Linked DNA regions of Elephas maximus indicus. The protein of the gene in region 1 purifies or fractionates together with the protein of each later gene. This does not show direct contact. Links are inferred from orthologs where the notes say so. Each region holds a gene or a part of one and is shown on either strand. Other genes may lie near its edges.

Region 1 (9,670 bases):
TCCCCCTCATTGATTTGAAGGTGTTCTTTATATATTCTGGATATTAATCCTTAACCACTTCTCTGTGTTGCAAACAGGGCTTCAAACTGGTTCTTTCTGGTTTGGCTCCCTGCTGAGACTCACCTGGAGATCTTAGTAAAAATGTAGATTCTGATTCAGTATATCTGGAGTGGAAATGAAAATTCACAATTCTCAAATCTATTAGTCCAGGCCTTTCAAGACTAACTAGAAAGTCATTCTTTCTCTTAAGCTGCAGATCCATATTCCCAACCACTTAGTCCACTTCCTAATAGCCAGAACTTTCTGGGAGCTTCAATGAATTATCTCATTTAATCCTCACAAAACCCCTGTAAAATATGTACTGTCATCACCCCCATTTTATAGGTGAGGAAACTGAGGCTCAGAGGGGTTAGTATTTTGCCTAAGGTCATACAGCTGCTAAGTGTGAAAGCTGATAAGCAATGAGTGCCTGCCCAATTCCAGAGCTTGAGCTCTTAACTTTTTCTTTTTTTTTTTTTAACTTGAATTTCCTACAGGCACTTAGAAGTCTGCAAGTACAAAAGGGAAACCGTCTTTTCCGCAGACTTACTCTTTTTCCTTTTTTAAAAAAATCCGATTTTTTTTTAGCTATGAATTTCATTCAATTCATTCAACAAATATTTACTGAGACTTGCTATATAACAGATTCTGTTCGAGGTACTTGGGATCCATTAGGGAATAAAACAGACAAAAAGTGCTGCCTTGTGAAGCTTACATTCCAGTGAGGGGAGAGAGACAGATGATAAACATAATAAATAAATAAACTATATGTTATATTTTATGTATATATAAAAATTTTATGTTAACAGATGGTATGTGCTATGAAGCAAAATTGAGCAGGATATAGAAAATAAGGAGGGCCTGAGGTGAGGGTGGGATAGAATTTTAAATAGGGTAGGTCAGGGTAAGTCTTTTTGAGAAGGTGATATTTTATAGGTAGATATCTAGGGGAAGAGCATTTTGGGAAGAGGAACAGTCAGCACCAATGCCTTAAGGCAGGAATGTGGCTGGCATGTCAGAAGAGCAAGAAAGCTATTTTGGCTAGAGCAGAGTGGGCAGGGAGGAAAGGAAGAGATTAAAGGGAAATCAGGTAACATAAAGACTTATAGGCCCTTGTAGGACTTTGACTTTATGTTGATTGAGATGGGGACATTGCAAGTTTTTTGTCTTAATTTTTGGTGAAAATATACATAATAAAACATGCATTCACTGAACATTTTCTACATGTACAGTTCAAGATATTGGTTACATTGTTCGCATTGTGTCACCATTCTCGATATCTCTACCCATATTGTTTCACCACCATTAACTTAGGCTCTCTGTTCCCTAAACTTCTCTGTGTTTTAGAATTACTGTTGTCTGTTTGATCTCATATAGTCATTCTTTAGAAGAGCACACTGCTCAAGGTGAACATTCTCTACTAGTTGACCTAAATTGTTGTTTAGTTTAAAGATGGCTTTATGGGATAATTTGGGTTCAAGACTTCAAGATTATCTCAGAACAATAGATTCAGGGGTCCCCCCAGTCTCAATGGGTCCAGTAAGTCTGGTTTCTATAAGAATTTGAAAATTTGTTCCACATTTTTCCTATTTTTGATCAGGATCCAGCTATTGGGTCCTTGATCAAAACGTTCACTGATGGTAGCCGGACACCATCCTGTTCTTCTGGTCTCATGGCAATGGAAATAGTAGTTCATGGAGGCAATTAGACCAAAATGCCTGGATTCTAAGCAGAGGACCAACGTGATTTTTTTTTTTTTAATTTTTATTGTGTTTTAAGTGAAAGTATACAAATCAAGTTGGACTCTCATACAAAAATTGATAAACACCTTGCTATATACTCCTAATTGCTCTCCCCCTAATGAGACAGCACACAGCACACTCCTTCCCTCCACTCTCTCTTTTCGTGTCTATTCAGCCAGCTTCTAACCTCCTCTACCCCTCTCATCTTCCCTTCAGACAGGAGATGCCAACATAGTCTCGTGCGTCTACTTGATCCAAGAAGCTCATTCTTCACCAGTATCATTGTCTATCCCATAGTCCAGTCCAAACTCTGTCTGAAGAGTTGGCTTTGGGAATGGTTCCTGTCTTGGGCTAACAGAAGGTCTGGGGACCATGACCTCCGGGGTCATTCTAGTCTCAGTCAGACCATTAAGTCTGGTCTTTTTATGAGAATTTGGGGTCTGCATCCCACTGCTCTCCTGCTCCCTCAGGGGTTCTTTGTTGTGTTCCCTGTCAGGATGGACTGACATGATTTGACTTAGGTTTTAAAAGGATCACTCTGACTGCTGTGTTGACAATAGACTTTGGGGAGGTCAGGGTGGAAGTGGAGAGACCATTAGGAAGCCGTTGCAGTGAACCAGGTGAGAAGGATGGTGGCTGGGACCAGGAGAACAGTAGTGAATGCTGAGGAGTCAAGAATGACTCCAGGTTTTTGGCCTAAGCAACTAGAAGAATTTACTTGCCATCACCTGAGATGGGGAAAATCAGAAATTCAATTTTGGACATGTTAGAGATGTCTCTAAAACATCCAAGGGGAGAAATCGAGTAAAAGTATATATGAGTTTGGAGTTTCAGAGGTAAAATAATTTGTGCATTATCAGCATGTAGGTGATGTTTGAAGCCATGAGACTGGATGAAATTATCAAAGGAGTGAGCGTCGATAGAAAAGACAAGAGGACACTCTACTGTGGTCACTCTACTGTTAACACTATATTGGAGAGAAGAGTGAGGTAGAAAGAAAACCAGGACAGTGTGGTCTCCCCAGTGCGAAGTAAAGAAAGTGTATTCAGGAGGAAGGAGTGACAAATAGGTCAAATGCTGCTAAGAGGTTGAGTAAGATGAGGACTGAAAAGTGACCACTGGGATCCAGCAAAATGGAGGTTTTTGATGATCTTGACAATAATAGTTTCAGTGGAACATGGGAGTGAAAGCCTGGCTAGAGGAGTTTAGAAGAGAAAGGGAGGAAAGGAATTGGAGTCAATGAGTATAGATGGCTAATTTGAGGAATTTTGCTGCAAAGGCAAGCGGAGAAATGGGAGTGGTCGCTGGTGGGGGGAAGTGGAGTCAAGAGGAGAAATTTTTTAAAATATGGGTTGACTCTTCCCTCAACACTCACATCTTGTTGGTCATCAATCCAGTTTATAATACCTCCAAAACTTCTCCCAGATTTACTTCTCAGCCCCATTACCCCTGCCTTACCGTAGGCCCTCATCACCTCTCGTCTGTGGTACTACAGTAATAGTCCAACATGTGTCCTCTAGGCACCACCAGCCACCAGTGTCCTAGGGTCTGCCTGGAAGCCACTGGCCACAGTTCTGCACTGATGACTCCTCCTTTCCTACAGAATGGAAATTGAATGGCTGGCTGGCTGGCTGGCTGAAGTTTCTTACGTATGCATCTGAATCAGTTAGGGTTCCGGGTCCCAGCAGGACAGAACTTACTCCAACTAGAATACTTTGAGGAGAATTTAATAAAAGGACTCTTTTTCCAAAGGAACAGGCAGCGTATGTGGAAACGAACCACAAAGATTGGTGCAGTTTCCTGAGACTAGTAACCCTGGGGTTGTTACCCTAGGCCTGAAGTGGGGCCCTGGAGGGGAGGGAGTAGAAGATACAGGTTCTAGAAATCTCTGTGAGGCTGAAGAGTGAGTTCTTCTCCAGAGTCTGGAAATAAGAGTGGCCCCTGAGAGTTAGAAAAACCCATCTGGAACAGATATGAAATTAATCACAAGATGGTTGGTCTGTAAATGTGTGACTGAAGTGTTTGGAAACCAACTAAAGGTCGGCAAGTTGGGACCTGGGAGTCCCTCAGGGGAGTTGGGCTGGACTGGGATGGTAGTTGGGTGAGCAGAAACTCATCAGTGGTATTAAGTGAGCTAATAAAGGTAAAGTATTTATTTACAAGTGTCTAAAAAAAAAAAAATTTTTTTTTTTTAATCACTCAGCAGGAAACCCTGGTGGCATAGTGGTTAAGAGCTACGGCTGTTAACCAAAAGGTTGGCAGTTCGAGTCCACCAGGCAGTCCTTGGAAACCCCATGGGGGAGTTCTACTCTGTCCTATAGGGTCGCTATGAGTCAGAATTGACTCGATGGCAATGGGTTTGGTTTTTTTTTTGGTTTATCACTTAGCAAGCACTAAGGAAGTAGTTGTTATTATTATACCCAGCTTGGAGAGCGGCAATGCAAACAGAAGAGAGATCACAGGAAAGTGAGGTCCCAGAAGCAGTTGAGGGAATTTGGCCTTGGAGATACTGGGCTAAACAGAGTCCTTAGAATCAAGGCCACCCCTATGGTGGGGGACAAGATATCAGGCTTCCTTGGCTGAGAATGTGTCATACCATCACCTTCTTCTCCTCACAGGAGGTCCCAAGCTCACTGGGCAAACTTCTTGGTAACTGGGCTTCCCAAGGAGCAGCCCAAACTGCTTTGATCCCTTGACACAGAAATGCAGGTCTCTCTTGACAGTTGTATTTCTCTGTGCAAATTAATACCTGGGCTTCATACATCAGCCTTTATTCTGGCCAAATGCCAGCTCTGCACAGGGAGCTTGCTCCACTCATTGTGCCAATGAAAGTGGGTTTTGGAGCCAGAGACTTGGGAATCACACCCTTCACAACAGGCAAAGGTGGCCACCTTTAGGAGCACTCCCTGGTGCGACTCAATCTGCAACAAGTGGAAAGGGCGAGAATGAGGGGGAAGGAAGTTCTTATTAGAGGGGGTAGACAAGGCTCCAGGGCATAGCCAGTAAAAGAAGGATGCCAAAACCTTTGCCTCACCTTAGATACCTCCTCCTTGGGAAAGCCGCCCTGGTCCTTACTCTACCCAGTTGGGGTAGGTACCCTCCTACGTACTTATCACGGTACTACTGGTCAAAGCGAACGGGTTTATCTATCTATCTGCTTGTCATGACACATCTGAACTGGAAGGTAAGGACAATGTCTTACTCATCTTTGTATTCCAGGGTGCCTGGTACACAGTAGGCACTCAATTTTTCTTGACTGCGTGATTGAATGAATGAGACAGACTGAATGGATGAATTAAACACAAGAGGGTGGACTGTAAGCCCCCCAGGGCAGGAGCCCCGACTGCCTGCCTTGTGTGGTAACCCCCAGTGCCCAGCGCAGTGCTTGGCAGAGTCACTGCCCAAAGTCCTCTGTATGGGCTGACTGGCTCACTAAGGGCCAAATCTGGGCTAGCCCCCTCCCAGAATCCTACCAACACCACCCCTCCCTCCTCACTGCTTCTGGCAAGGACAGCATACCCACTGCCCGCACAAAGCACCACGGGTGGTGTCTGGCTTGATCTCTGTCACTGCAGATATGGGGTCTTGTCCTTCCCCCTGAAGAAAGTCACCAAGGGCAGGAGTGCTCCAGACTCTAGTTGGCGAGGGGTACCCGCAGCGGCCGGGATCCCAGGTCAGATGCAGGGGAAGCGCAGGTTGCTTCCGTGAGGACAGTGCTCGCCCTGGGTGAGGAAGCCTGTGGGGCCCGCTCCGGGGAACAATCGCTGAGCTGCGCCACTGCCCGTTCCCACCAGGGCAGGGCGACGTCCTTGGCCCTGTTCCCCTGGGAATCTCGCGTTTCTCCACGCTCTCTTCTTCCCCCAGGTTCCGGCTCTGGCACCCTCCTTGCAGCCCCGAGCTTTGCAAACTTTCGGAGTTTTCCTCCACTTGCGTCACGGAAAAGACTAGAGGGTGACGGAGCCCCGGAACCAGGCGGCGGAGGCTGGCGAACTCCCCAGCGCGACGCTCAGACCCCGGGGGCGAGAGGTGTCTCCCGGTGAGGGAGGACGGGCTGGGGGTCGGTGCATCGTCCCCCCTTTTCCTGGGTCCTCTCTTCCCTCTGTCTCCCATCCAGGACGGAGAGCAAAGAAGTGAGGGCGACCGCGAGGTGGGAAGAAGCTAGGCGGAGTTGGCGGGGGCCGGCCCCAGCGCCCCAGGCCCGCGGGAAGGCGGAGCCGGGCCGTGCCTGCCCAGTCCCGACGCACGGAAGTGCTGTGGAGTTCGCCCAATTCCCTAGCCTGCTTTTCCTCCCTCCCTCTCCTCACCCTCACCTCCCCCCGCTTTCGGCTATTCCCTCCTTCCTCGGGACGCCACCTCCCAGAATCGCCTTTGTTTTGTTTTGTTTTGTTTTGGAGCTGGCTTCTCGCAGGCAGTGGAGAGGGGCTGCGAGTACAGGAGGAGAAGGCGGGCTGGGGGCGCAGCCCGCTGCCCACCGGCCGTGCCCGGTAGGGCAGAGCAGGAGGACGAACCCACAGACAGACGACCGCGCCATCTGCTCCACCGAGCTTACTCTCCAAACTACTGTTGAGTGTGTGCTTGCGCGCCAGGGGCGAGGGGGTGGGGGTCTGGACGTCGCGCGCGCGCCGGGACTGGTTACCTTTGGACGGGTCCTTACATCAGGGTCAGCTTCAGGCTGAGAAACTGCTGAGGAATTAAGCAAACAGGAGTCCACGCAGCTAGTGGCCAGAAGTCGCTAGACAGGCTCGTCGCGCTCCCTCCTTCCCCGGAGTCGGGGCTGGCCTCTCGGGGGGCGGGGAGAGGGCACCTCGAGCCGGCCTGGGGCCTGCCTGCTGCGCCGCCGGGGTCGGGAGTTGGCGGCCTGTTGTGTAAGCCTCAGTCCTTGTTTTCCCGGCCTGGCTCGTTGTGAAGCCGGACACATCCACCCTTGGACTCGATTCAGGCGGCTGTGCTTTCTCCTTGCCCCTCTTGGATTTTCTGGATTTTTGAAAACCCGGTGGCCCAGGAGGAGGAGGAAGGAGGAAGGAGCCGATCCGCGAAGGAATGCGAGAGCCTCCCGAGGGCAGAGCAGCCAGAAGAAGCTGGGAGCCAGAGGGACGGCAGGGCCCTGCTTGGGTTTCAGGAACCGTGGTTTCCTAGTGATTCTCTTCTATTTCAGAACATTATTCCAGTGGAAAGTGTGGAACTCTTGCCCTGGAAGGGCTGGTTTCACTAAGTCACTTGGCTTTTCTTCTGGGAGTAGGAGGAGGGGGAGTCCTCCCGCACATACCCCTCAGGGTCTGCTGAGGGCAGGAAGGAAGACTGTGGACATGAGCCCTCCCTGCTCACGGTCCTGTGCCTGGAGACTGGATAGGGCAGTTTCTGAGCCATGGACATTGCTCTGAAGAGAGGGAGGCTGGACAGCATCCATGGGTGCTGAGACCCTGCCTTAGGGGCTGAGGGACCAGGCTGCAGAGACAGGCTCCGAGCAGCTAGTGTATTCTTGGACAGCTTAGTGAGCATCTGGGGTTCTGGCAGCACCCTCTCCTTCCCGTCTCTACCACCCAGCTCACGATGGCACTGAAAGGCCGGGCTCTCTATGACTTCCGCAGCGAGAACAAGGAGGAAATCAGCATCCAGCAGGATGAGGACCTGGTCATCTTTAGTGAAACCTCGCTGGACGGCTGGCTGCAGGGCCAGAATAGCCGCGGTGAGACCGGGCTCTTTCCCGCCTCTTATGTGGAGATCATCCGTTCTGATGCCAGCTCCAACCATGCCTACTACTCCATCAGCCCTGCAGCCTCTCTGGGCACCCAGGTGAGCTTGCACGACAGCCCCAGTGTGGCCAACTCAGCCAGTACCGCTGGGGGCAGTGGTTTCCTCTCTAACCAGGGCAGCTTTGAGGAGGATGATGAAGATGACTGGGATGACTGGGATGACAGCTGCACAGTGGTGGAGGAACCGCCAGCTGGTGGGCTGGGCACCAATGGGCACCCCCCACTCAACCTCTCCTACCCAGGTGCCTACCCCAGCCAGCACATGGATTTCCGGCCCAAGCCAACCCTAGAGCGGCAGGATAGCCTGGCGTTAGCCAAGCGAGGCAGCATGGTGGGGCGCAACCTCAACCGTTTCTCATGCTTTGTGCGCTCTGGAGTGGAGGCCTTTATCCTGGGTGATGTGCCCATGATGACCAAGATCATTGAGACATATTCCATTGAAATGGGCCCTCGTGGCCCCCAGTGGAAGGCCAACCCCCACCCATTTGCTTGCACCGTGGAGGATCCCACCAAACAGACCAAATTCAAGGGCATCAAAAGCTACATTTCCTACAAGGTTACACCCAGCCACGTTGGCTCACCTGTCTACCGGCGCTATAAACACTTCGATTGGCTCTACAACCGCCTGCTGCACAAGTTCACTGTCATCTCAGTGCCCCACCTGCCTGAGAAGCAGGCCACAGGCCGTTTTGAGGAAGACTTCATTGAGAAGCGGAAGCGGCGGCTTATCCTCTGGATGGACCACATGACCAGCCACCCTGTGCTCTCTCAGTATGAAGGCTTCCAGCATTTCCTCAGCTGCCTGGATAACAGGCAGTGGAAGATGGGCAAACGCCGGGCGGAGAGGGACGAGATGGTGGGTGCCAGCTTCTTGCTCACCTTCCAGATTCCCACAGAGCACCAGGACCTGCAGGATGTGGAGGACCGTGTGGACACCTTCAAGGCCTTCAGCAAGAAGATGGATGACAGCGTCCTGCAGCTCAGCACTGTGGCATCAGAGCTGGTGCGTAAGCATGTGGGGGGCTTCCGCAAGGAATTCCAGAAGCTGGGCAGTGCCTTCCAGGCCATCAGTCATTCCTTCCAGATGGACCCCCCCTTTGGCTCTGAGGCCCTCAACAATGCCATTTCTCACACGGGCCGCACCTACGAAGCTGTCGGTGAGATGTTCGCTGAGCAGCCCAAGAACGACCTCTTCCAGATGCTTGACATGCTGTCTCTCTACCAGGGCCTGCTCTCCAACTTCCCGGACATCATCCACCTGCAGAAAGGTAAGACCCTGTGCAGGCAGGAAACCCTTACGGACTCTGGCACTCTGCTTGCTGGGCACTGGGGAAACTGGGATGATCTAGGCAGAACAGAGCAGCTTATCTCGTCTTTCTGTTGTCTTACTTATTCATTCAACAAATGTGTTGAGACCTTACCATGTGCCAGGTGCTATTCTAGGCGCAGGGATATTGTTGTGGACAGGCCTGGTCCCTGTCCTCACGGAGCACACTGTTTACCTTATTGTTGACAGTGTTCATTCATTTGTTTCCTCTGTTTCTGTCTGACTTGATCATTTAACCACCATGCACTGAGGCCTTTCAAGGTAACATAGAAATGATCAGGCCCCAGGCCTCACCACTGAAGAGCCCACGGGCTCATGTTGACACACACAGAACCTGATAATGAGAGCACAGAGTGCAGGCCTACATTCCCACTCCTCACAAGCTCCCTTGCCCTGTCTGTAGCTTCAGAGCCTGTTCTCATCCTCTGCCTATCTTGTGAGCTCCCTATCTGTGTGCAGGGGGATTGCTGCCCCCATTTTGCAGATGAAGAAACTGGTATCCAGAGATGGACAGTTGCACTGGGAGTCAGAAGCCCAGCTGGGTCTGTCCCTTCCTCCCACCACCTCCCCAAGGACATGTCTGTGTTGGCTGCCTCTCAAGCCCAGCCTTGTTTTCAGTTCTCATGCCCCCTCTATAGGAGAGGACAGGATGGGCCCCCGCCTGTTACTGCTGGGGCTGTCAAGGAACTGCCAGGGAAATGACTCATCCCGGGTCACACAGGGGCGCCAGGCCGGGCCAGGGGAGCGGAACCAGGGGGCCAGGGTACTGCCCACATACCCCCATCCAACTCCCTCTTCTGGAGTCTGCT
Region 2 (9,691 bases), on another chromosome or scaffold:
GGGCACCAGGCCCTTCCTCCTCACCAGGGCCCTTCTGTCTACTCAACACACGTTACTTCATCCAGTGCCGCAGGAAGGGTCCGGTTATCTCCCTCACTTTACAGAAAATGAACCTGAGGCCCAGAAAGCCAAGATCCCCTTGGCCAAAGTCATGCAGCCAAACATGGTAGAACAGGGCCTTGGACCCAGGCCCACGCACTATACCATGAAATTCTAGAGCGCTGCTGGCCATTTTCTAGTACTGCTGAAATCCAGATTTTGATGTGAAATCTCATTTTTAAAGGTTGGCAGCTAATTAAAAGCAAAACTTTGTAAACACCACACAGGTGAAACAAAGGGCCCAACAGGAGCCACCCATCCGCAACCCCTGAGCCAACTGGGCTGCTCTCACCCGGGCCACATTCTGAGACAAGCCACAGGGAAGCATCCAGGACACACAGCAAGCCCTACAGACCCCAGGTTCCAGACCTGGACAAAGGCCCCTGACACATGCTCTCGTTTATTCCCTGAAACCAGTCGGGACAGTCCACTGAATGCGTCCACTTTGCAGAAGAGAAAACTGAGGCTCTGAGCAGTGGCACGCCTTGGCTAAATTCACCAAAAGAATCCTCTGGCCCACCCTGAGCAGGGCTTTGAAGCTCAGAGGCCTTACCCATGTTTAAATTCTAACAGTACTTAAGCTCTGTTCCAGCACCCTGCACCTTAAGAGAGGCCTTTTAACAACTCTAATTTTCATGCAGTAAATTAATGCTCTTTAACAGCCAGTGTCTACATTGCTGGGTTCTGGGAGGCAGTTGCCACAGGAGCAGGTAACCAATCACCAGTGGGGCAGGAGAGGTGGGGAGGGAAGAGAAATTCAGCGCTGCCAACCCAGAGCCCTCAATTCCTTAATGAACAGCTTCAAGCAAGAGGACTCAGCTCTTTGAGCCTCAGTTTCCTGCCCTGTAAAACGGAGATCATAACAGTATTAGCCTCATGGGGCTTAAATGAAATTCAGCATGGAACTCGAAGGCACTTAACTCTTATTAGCTTTTGCTGTTGTTCTGAGAGGAACCAGCCCAGTGAAGAGCAGCCCGGTCAGGCACTGCGCTAAGTAAGCACTTCCAACACACCATGTCACTGCATCCTTGCAACAGCCTTGTTGAGGGTCCAGGGCCCCATTTTTAGGAGGGGAAACCGAGGCCCAGAGAGGTCAAACAATCTGCACAAGGTCACAAAGCAAATGAAACAGAGAGAGCTTCACAGAGGCCCACCAGAGGCTGGAAAGGCAGGAAGACGGCCAGAGGGGCTCACAGCCCAGCCTGGTTGAGCCCAAGTTCAGAGGCATATTGACAGAAAACAGCACCTAAGGCAAGCACTGAGATTGTACAATCTCTAAATTGCGCCCTGCCCCCCATTTGAGTGCCCACGGGCAATCTCTAAATTGCACTGCCCCCAGCCCCGACAATTTCAAAATGAACGGATGATGATAGCGGCAACAGGTCTTGTCCAGCTGCCTCAGTCACTTGCCTTTCATATTTGTAGCACCTGGGAAGATCATTTCCTACCTCATCTGGTTCCCCCCGGGCTTGTGCCTAGAGCAGGTATACCCCCACTCCCACCACACACACATACCCACCTGCCTCTGTGTCTATGGTGCTTGAGGCAGGACACTGAGGCAGGACATTGTGTCATGCCAGGTTAATGGAAACCCTGGTGGCATAGTGATTAAGAGCTACAGCTGCTAACCAACAGGTCAGCAGTTCGAATCCACCAGGCACTCCTTGGAAACTCTATAGGGCAGTTCTACTCTGTCCTACAGGGTCCCTATGAGTCAGAATCGACTCAAGGGCAACGGGTTGGTTTTTTTGGTCATTGGCGCTTCCCCTTCAAGTGGAGTGGTACCCAGGGCATATGCCATGCCTACCATACCTTAGATCCACCTCTGCCCAAGCCCACACCTTTCCGCTACACTGGACAGAGGCCAACCCACCAGGGACACAGCAGCACAGAAGGAAATTCATGCGCTGGGATCACAACCCCAGGCCTCTGGGAAGGCAACAGCAGGTCTGGGTGTCCAGCCAGGCTCTGTTGCATACCAGCCCAGTGGCCTTGGGCAAGCGGTGAGTCCTTTCTGAACCTCCCTGCTCATTTCTAAGGTTAGGATGGTAACGAAATCACCCCATGCTCATTGTGGAATGCAACACACGGAACAAGGAAAGAACTCAGCTGGGGCCTGCTCAGTGAACGCTACCCCTTCACACTGATTAACAATAACAAGGACGATGATGTTACCATTGGCAGCCACACAGCCACAAATGGAGTCCCTTCCGGGAATAGCGAAGTGACCAGGAAGGTGGAAGGACAAGAGATGTGGGAGGGAGAGAGAAGAATCAACAGTCCTCAGTGGTTGTAGGGCCTGGTCTCATTCATTAGTTTCCTGAACACTGGAAACAGCCCAGAGAGTGGAATTTGCACACTGCACGGATGGGCAAACAGGCCTCTCCAGAACGGTCCAGAAAAGACTGTATCTCAGCTCTTATCACTGAGGGCTGATGAGGCAAAAAGCCCCTTCCCAGGCTCCAAGGAGTGCTCCCCAATTTGCAGGCTTTAACTTGGGGGCTGGCCCATGATCCAGGGCCCCAGAGCATCCTAACATGGCCCAGGAAAGAATTCCGGGGAAAGTTCCCCAGGTCGTACTTCCAACAGAGAGTTGAACAGATTCAAGCCTCATCCTTTCGCTCTCTTCTCCCCTACTCCTTTTCCCCACCCCCTGCCAGAAGGGTTAGGCCAGACAGATGAAAAGCTAGGAGCTGCTGGGACTGTCATGGTAGACTAGGAGATGGACAGACATTGGATCCACCAGTACAGACAGACAGAAGGATCTGTTTGGAAGAGAGAAGCCAGGGTCCACCAGGGACCCAAATGAAGTGTCATCCCAGGAGAGCAAAACAACAGGGTCCTCCTTGGGTCCAGACAGCCAGTTAGATGGAGGAGACCAGCTAGGGTAACTCGACAGAGGGACGGGTAAGTGCTAACGTCTGTGAGGGGAACGGATAGGCAGCCAGACAGCAGAGGTCATCCTGAACAGCTAGCCAATCAGCAGGGGGCTGCCCGTGGGACTGGACAGATGGACAGCCAAATGGTGGTAGGGAGGTCTCTCCAGGCCAGACACAGCCAGCCAGAACGAGCTGCCCCTGATAAATGGCCAGCCGACTGCAGGGATCACCCCAATAGTTACCGAGGTGGCGCGTTCGCCCCTGGTAAACGGACAGACAGACGGAGTAGAGGGGGACCTACCCCAACCCAAAGGCAACCAGATGGCAGAGTTTACCCGCGAAGGCTGGGAACGTGACACACCGCAGGGGTCAATGGCGCCTCCTGCTCCACGCCCCCCAGACTGTAGGAACGCCCCTGGGGCCTGGGCCGGCTCCCCATTGCCTGTAGGGAGCCCTCTACCCAGAGCGCCCCACAGGGCCCGCCTCCCAGTCCCTGTCCCCGTCGCCGGCACGCAAGCGCCGCAGTTACGCCGGCGGCGCAAGGCGCGCCATTCCCGGGCCGCCCTCCGCGCCCTAGGCCACCGCCCGCCCGCCGTTCCCGCGGCGCTCGCTCACCGGCCCACGAAGTTCTCGAGCACCGAGCTCTTGCCAGCGCTCTGGCCGCCCACTACGGCGATCTGCGGCAGGTCCAGGTGGCAGCTCTGGCCGATGGAGCTGAAGGCGTCCTGCAGCTTGTTGACCAGTGGGATCAGCTCTTCCATCCCGCGGTTGCCCATGGCGCCGGCCGCCCCGGCCCGAGCGCCCCGCGCTCCCCGCCCGCCCCCGACTCAACGACGCGCCCCGCGGCGTCCGCGGCCGTTGCTCCCCGCCCGCCTGGGCCTCGGCGCTCCGCTCGGCTCCCGGCTCGGCCTCACTGTCGCCGCCTCATCCGGTTCTCAGGCAACACCCGACCTGAGCGACCTCCCGCCGGGGCCCCCGGGCTGGGCTTAAAACCATCGCGCCGCTCTTGATTGGTCAACCTGGCTGCCACTCGGGTACTCGAGCCAATGGAAGCGAGGCACGAGTTTACGGCTGAATAAGCCTTCCCCTAGGGAGCTTCTCGTGGACTCATTGGAAGGAAGAACTGTCGTTGTTATGCAAGAACCAATAGCGGCCGGAGCCAAGTTGTCAAGGCCGGGAGGCGGTGTTTCAGGAAAAGGTATGTTGGTCCCGCCCCTTGAAGAGGCATTCTGCCACTTTATTGGTAGAAAAACCCGCCAGTCCGGAAAGCCACCAATGATGTTAGGGCTCGATCCTTAGACACTGGTTTTCCCTAAAAATTTCCCATTGGCTTATATAAATATCACTCCGTTCCTCCAGCCAACAGATCAGAAGAGGGCAGGCTTTACATCTGAATTCTGATTCTGATTGAGAACTGTATCTGTCAATCAAAGTAACTCGTTCTTAACTTGTGATTGTTGGCCGCCTGTTGGGAGACTTCTGGAGTACAGGGTAGCGCTCGCCAAAGGGCGACACCTAGTGGTACGACCCGTCACTCTTCTGAGTTTCAGAGCTCTAGAGAAAAAGGCCTTCCACGAGATGGACTGACACATTGGCTGCAACAATGGGTTCGAACATAGCAACGATTGTGAGGATGGCGCAGGGCAGGGTAGTGTTTCTGTTATACATAAGGTGACTACGAGTCATAACTGAATCCACGGCCCCTAACAACAGGAAAAACTACAAGTCCCAGAATGCATCTCGGCTGCCGGCAGGCAAACCCGCTCTCGTCGCGGTTCGCTACGCACTTTGAAGAGAAGTTGGAGCCGGGCGATGTTGGTGCTCCCTAGCGAGAGACGGTCCATTCCTATAATGTCAAGCTCCATGCCTTTGCAAATAACTGTGCCCTCCCCTAGGAGTATCTTCCGCTGACGCCCCGCGTTGATGCAGCTACCTCTTCAACGTTGTTCCCTGCCTCTTCAACTTTAGTGCATCATGGGTCGTTTAGAAACCCAATGAAACACAACCGGGTCCACTCCCCACGAAGACACGCTATTCTGCAGGCAGAGTTGGAGTGTGGGAACTAGTATTCTTGACCTCTTGGAACAGATGCCGGAGATAGGTGGACGGATTTTAATAAGTTATTCGATCCCTCTGGGCACAGATGGGCCAGAGAATAGGGAACCAAGTGAGGAGGCAGGAGCATTGAAGGGGGAGAGGCAGCAGTAACCAGGGAAATGGAGAACCACTGTGGAAGATGGCAGAGCATGAACCAAAATCCCAGCGCTCAGAAAGACGGCAAAAAGGCCACCAACAAGGTTAGCCAACCTTGACCAGGATCACAGCAACCTGGAAACACCCTAGCTGTCCTTCCAGAAGGGCTGGTTAAATAAGTGCAATAGGGCCGCAGCTGCCATAAAGGAGAATGAGGAAGCTCTCCATGTACTTAGGTGTAAACCAATTTCTCAGATATACTACGAAGAAAAAAAAAAAAAGCAATACAGAAATGTATGTAAAGGACACTAACATTTATGAGAAAATAGGTGTACATGGAAAATTTCTGGAGGAATACACAAACCAATAAAAACTGTTGCACTTTTTGTGCTATTTGAATTGTTGATCATACACATGTATTATTTTTTCAATAACAAACCTTATTTTCTAAGAACGCTGGCTTTGTAATTGGTCATATCTAGGTTAGAATCCTGGGCCTGTTTATTTGCTGAGTGATAATGACTTCATTGCTCTGATCCTCAGTTTCCTCTTCTGTAAAATGAGGAATACAACTCTACGTGCGTCATAAAGTTGCAAGAATTAAATACACATGACTAGCATCAAAAACAGTGCCAAACACAGTGTAAGCTCCAACTAGGCCACACCTATTACCATCACTGTTGACTGAGAGCGAGATTAAGTCAAGTGTATGCAGTCAGGTCCCTAAAGATCAGCGCTTTGAACCCACCAGCTGCTCTGAGGGAGATGTGGCAGTCGGCTTCCGTAAAGATTTGCAGTCTTGGAAACCCTATGGGCCAGTTCTACCCTGTCCTGTAGGGTCACTATGAGTCATAATCAACCACAGCAACGAATCTGGTTTTGTTTTTCACTAACCTAAAGGTTGGTGGTTTGAACCTACCCAGCAGTGCTGTGGAAGAAAGGCCTAGCAATCTGTTTCCATAAAGATTAAAGACAAGAAAATCCTACGGAGCAGCTTTACTCTGTCACATGGGGTCGCTATGAGGCAGGGGTGACTTAACGGAGGGTATGCAGTCATGGAGGTAACAGAGGGGAGGCTGAGAGCGTGAACTGCCTGAGTTCAAATCCTGAGTCTGCCACTCCCTCAGTGGGTGATCCTGAGCGAGCTCCTTTTCCTTTCTGGGCCTCAGTTTTCTCACCTGTGAAAAAGGGAAGAACAAGAGTACCCACCACCAGGGTGGCTGAGGGGCCTGGGCCACAGCTTCCATCTTGGGTACATCCTACACACTGGGCTGTGCCAGGTGCTTTCCAGATACCAGGAGCTGCTGTGGTTACTTGTTATCAGTGTGAGGGGAGAATGTCTGTCACAGTGAAGCTCAGACCAGGAAGGAGACCAAGACTGGATTCCTCCCCAAGAAGACACAGAGTCATGATGTTAGAATGAAAAAACCAAACCTTCAATATCTTCCAGTCCCTCCCTCTTCCCCCAATGCCGGAAGCCCCCTGGCCAGCTCAGCCCAGTGTGATTCCCACAGAGGCCAGGGCTTCGGTGGCCCAGGTGGGGTAGAGGGTGGGGTCCCCGTACATAGTGTCCATGAAGTTACGCACGAAGTCGGGGAAGCGCTTCTCCACGATGCTGGCTCGCACAGCACTCATCAGCTGCAGCTGCAGGGAGGGGGCGACATCGTGAGCCAAGGGAGGCCCAAAACCCTGCCTATTCCCTCACCCACCCAGCCACAGGCCCACCTGGTAGGCAATGTTGTGGACAGTGAGGTGGTGCAGGGCGGCGGTGTTGTCACTGTGGAGCAGTGCATGCAGGAAGGCCCGGCTGTGCCTGTGGTCCAGGGGGTCGGGGTCAGCAATGCTGGGTCCTGCCGCTCCCCCCACCTTCCCTCAACCCCTAGGCCTCGCCTACTTCTGGCAGGTGGGGCAGGTGCACTCAGGGTTGATGGGACCAAAATCCTTCTCATACTGCTTCTTCTTTAGCTGCAGATTCCCAGTGGGCACCAGGGCAGAGCCAAAGCGCTAGGGGAGGAGAGAGGCAGGGGAGGAGGGTCACCCAAGTCTTCACCCTCCCCGCCCCCACCCCCAGCTCCGCCCTTGCCTGCCCCTGCCCAGGGCCTCACCGCCGTCCGTGTGGGGAAGACACAGTCGAACATGTCACATCCGAGAGCCACGCAGACCACCAGATCGGTGGCATAGCTGGGGGTGAGGCCATGGGGGGAGGGGAGCAGTGAACCTCAAACCCTTGGCCTGGGCTTCCTCCCCACCCTCAGGTTTCCTGGGCCTAGGCCATAGTCCCTCAGAACCACCCGAGGGGAGGGCTGGATCCTGCTTAATCCTCCCTCTCCCCAACCCCCACTCCCACATGTGGGGCCCTGTCTCCCCTCTCCCCTACATACCCAACCCCCATCAGGTATCTGGGCTTGTCCTTAGGCAGTCGCGAGGTGCTCAGCGCCACCATCCTCCAGAACTGGCCCTTGCTCTCGCCCCCGCTCAGGCCCCCGATGGCAAAGCCTGGCACGTCCCTCTTGGTCATCTCTGGGGGCACAGGGCAGGATGAGGGGTGGCCAGGCAAGGGAAAATTACTTCCCATCCCTAAGCAGACCCTCAGGAAGGGAGAGAAAGTGCGTGAGCGTGTGTATGTATATGGATGGGGGGCTGCTGGGGACCTTAGCTACCATTTATCGAACGCCTGCTGCACGTAAGACCCTCTCCTTCAATCCTCAGGAGTGGGACATGGGCCCACACTTGCTTACCTAAGACCTTTAGAGCCAGATTTGTTTCAGAAGTTTCTAGATTTTAGAACAGTGAGCATCCTATATGCTGGGTAACAGCCAGTCATGAAATGCTGTACCATGTCTACAGCAAAATGGGTGAAGACTTGAAATGTGTGAGACAAATAACAACACAGGTCTGGTTTTGTCACCATATGAATTGCAGACGTCGGAGCTTTTTAGGTTTTAGACTTGGATGGCTCCAGAAGTGTAGAGAAGGGATGGGAGACCTGCACTGTTGTTGAGCTCGTCCAACAGATGAGGAAATGGAGGCTCGGAGAGCTGACACCACATATGCCAGCAGGTGGATTCAAACTCAAGTCTGGCCTCAAAGCCCAGGCTTGTCTCAGGCCCCAGCTGCCAGTTCAATCCAGGGGAGGCCACAGCATCAACAAAGCAGGTGCTGTCTGGGGCTGGGTGTTGTAGCTAGAGTGAGCAGCAGAAGCAACTGGGGACAGGTTGGTTAAACGCAGGTTCCCAGGCGTTCCTCCTCTCCCCACCCAATCATGGAGGAACACCCAGAAGGCTGCATTTTACCAGCCCTCCTCAGTAGGGGGGGCTGGTGTAGGTAAGCCTGGGAGCACGCTGATGCTTGTCAAACTGCAGGTGGAGGGGAACTGAATATGATGGGGAGAGACCAGCAGTGTTGTTTGCGAATGAAAAAACCACAGAAAATACCAGAAAGCATTGCAAGGGTAATGCTTCCTGAAGCTCTGATGTCTGTTTTCATGCACATCTGCAGGAACTGAGAAGTGATGGGAAATGGATCACTGACTGTGGGTCTCAGTTAAAAGACTGAAAGCTACTGGACCAGGGCAGGGGAGAGGAGACTTGGGGACGAAGAGGGATCACAACAAGGACAATCTCAATAACCAAGCTGATGCCAGGCACCGGTGGGGCACTTTGAGCGGATTTTCCCATTTCATCCTCACTTCGACCCCATTACATTGGGAGTATTTTCCCATTTTACAGAGGAAAAAAGTGAGGCTCAAAGACGCAAAGCCACTGGCCCAAGGCCATGCAGCCATGAAGCCATGGAAGTGTGCCTGAGGGACTCACAGAACCCAGGGTCTTGCCCATGATGCCTCATGGCCTGAGTCTCCCATCTGTGCCTCCCTTTGTCTCCATGGCCATGGCCTTGCTTCCAGCCTCATCACCCTGGGCCCCCACTCCGGCCTCCTGATGGGCCTCCCATGTCCTTACTTTCTAAGAACACCCGGTTTGTAATTAGTTGTATTGAGGTGAGAATCCTGGGCCTGTTTATTTGCTGGGTGATAACGACCAAGTGACTTCATTGCTCTGGTCCCAGTTTCCTCTTTTGTAAAATGGGGAACACAACTCTACATGCATCATAAAGTTGCAAGAATTAAATACACATGACAAGCGTTGAGAACAGTGCCAATTACAGGGTAAGCTCTGGCTAGGCCACATCAATTATCATGACTGTGTTGTTTTTCTCTGATGCTTCTTGCTTCCCGTCACTCTCCTGCTAAGCCCCTCCATGGCTCCCCAATGCCTCAATGGGGTGTCCCAGGGCCTCCATTGTTGGCACACTGCCCACGGCCCAGCCCCTCAGTCCTGACCCCGTGTGTCATCTCGGCCAAGAGCAGCACTGTGGAGCAGTTAGTGCTGTAGGTTCTGGAGCCTGAAGACGTGGGTCCCAACCCCAGCTCTGCAACATCCGAGCTGTGCAGTCCACGGTGAGTCACATAACAGCTCTGTGCCTCAGTTTCCCCATCTGTTACTCGGAAGCCTAGCAGTCTG

What was found.
Region 2: the proteins of SNX33 (region 1) and DNM2 purify together in Homo sapiens (co-immunoprecipitation; 3 studies listed by BioGRID and IntAct, with this or other methods). This does not show direct contact. The link is inferred for Elephas maximus indicus from reciprocal best matches to the Homo sapiens genes SNX33 and DNM2.

The regions. Positions count from the first base shown.
Region 1 is NC_064831.1:65,539,826-65,549,495, forward strand, and holds the start of SNX33 (sorting nexin-33), read left to right. Parts: upstream 1-6,139; 5' UTR 6,140-7,331; coding exon 7,332-8,802; intron 8,803-9,670. Other genes in the region: uncharacterized protein LOC126088049, read right to left, coding at 4,538-4,702, 5,301-5,891. UniProt on the Homo sapiens protein: Plays a role in the reorganization of the cytoskeleton, endocytosis and cellular vesicle trafficking via its interactions with membranes, WASL, DNM1 and DNM2. Acts both during interphase and at the end of mitotic cell divisions.
Region 2 is NC_064821.1:28,764,453-28,774,143, reverse strand, and holds the start of DNM2 (dynamin-2), read right to left. Parts: upstream 3,915-9,691; 5' UTR 3,755-3,914; coding exon 3,594-3,754; intron 1-3,593. Other genes in the region: QTRT1 (queuine tRNA-ribosyltransferase catalytic subunit 1), read right to left, coding at 6,663-6,815, 6,897-6,984, 7,066-7,175, 7,277-7,352, 7,553-7,691. UniProt on the Homo sapiens protein: Catalyzes the hydrolysis of GTP and utilizes this energy to mediate vesicle scission at plasma membrane during endocytosis and filament remodeling at many actin structures during organization of the actin cytoskeleton.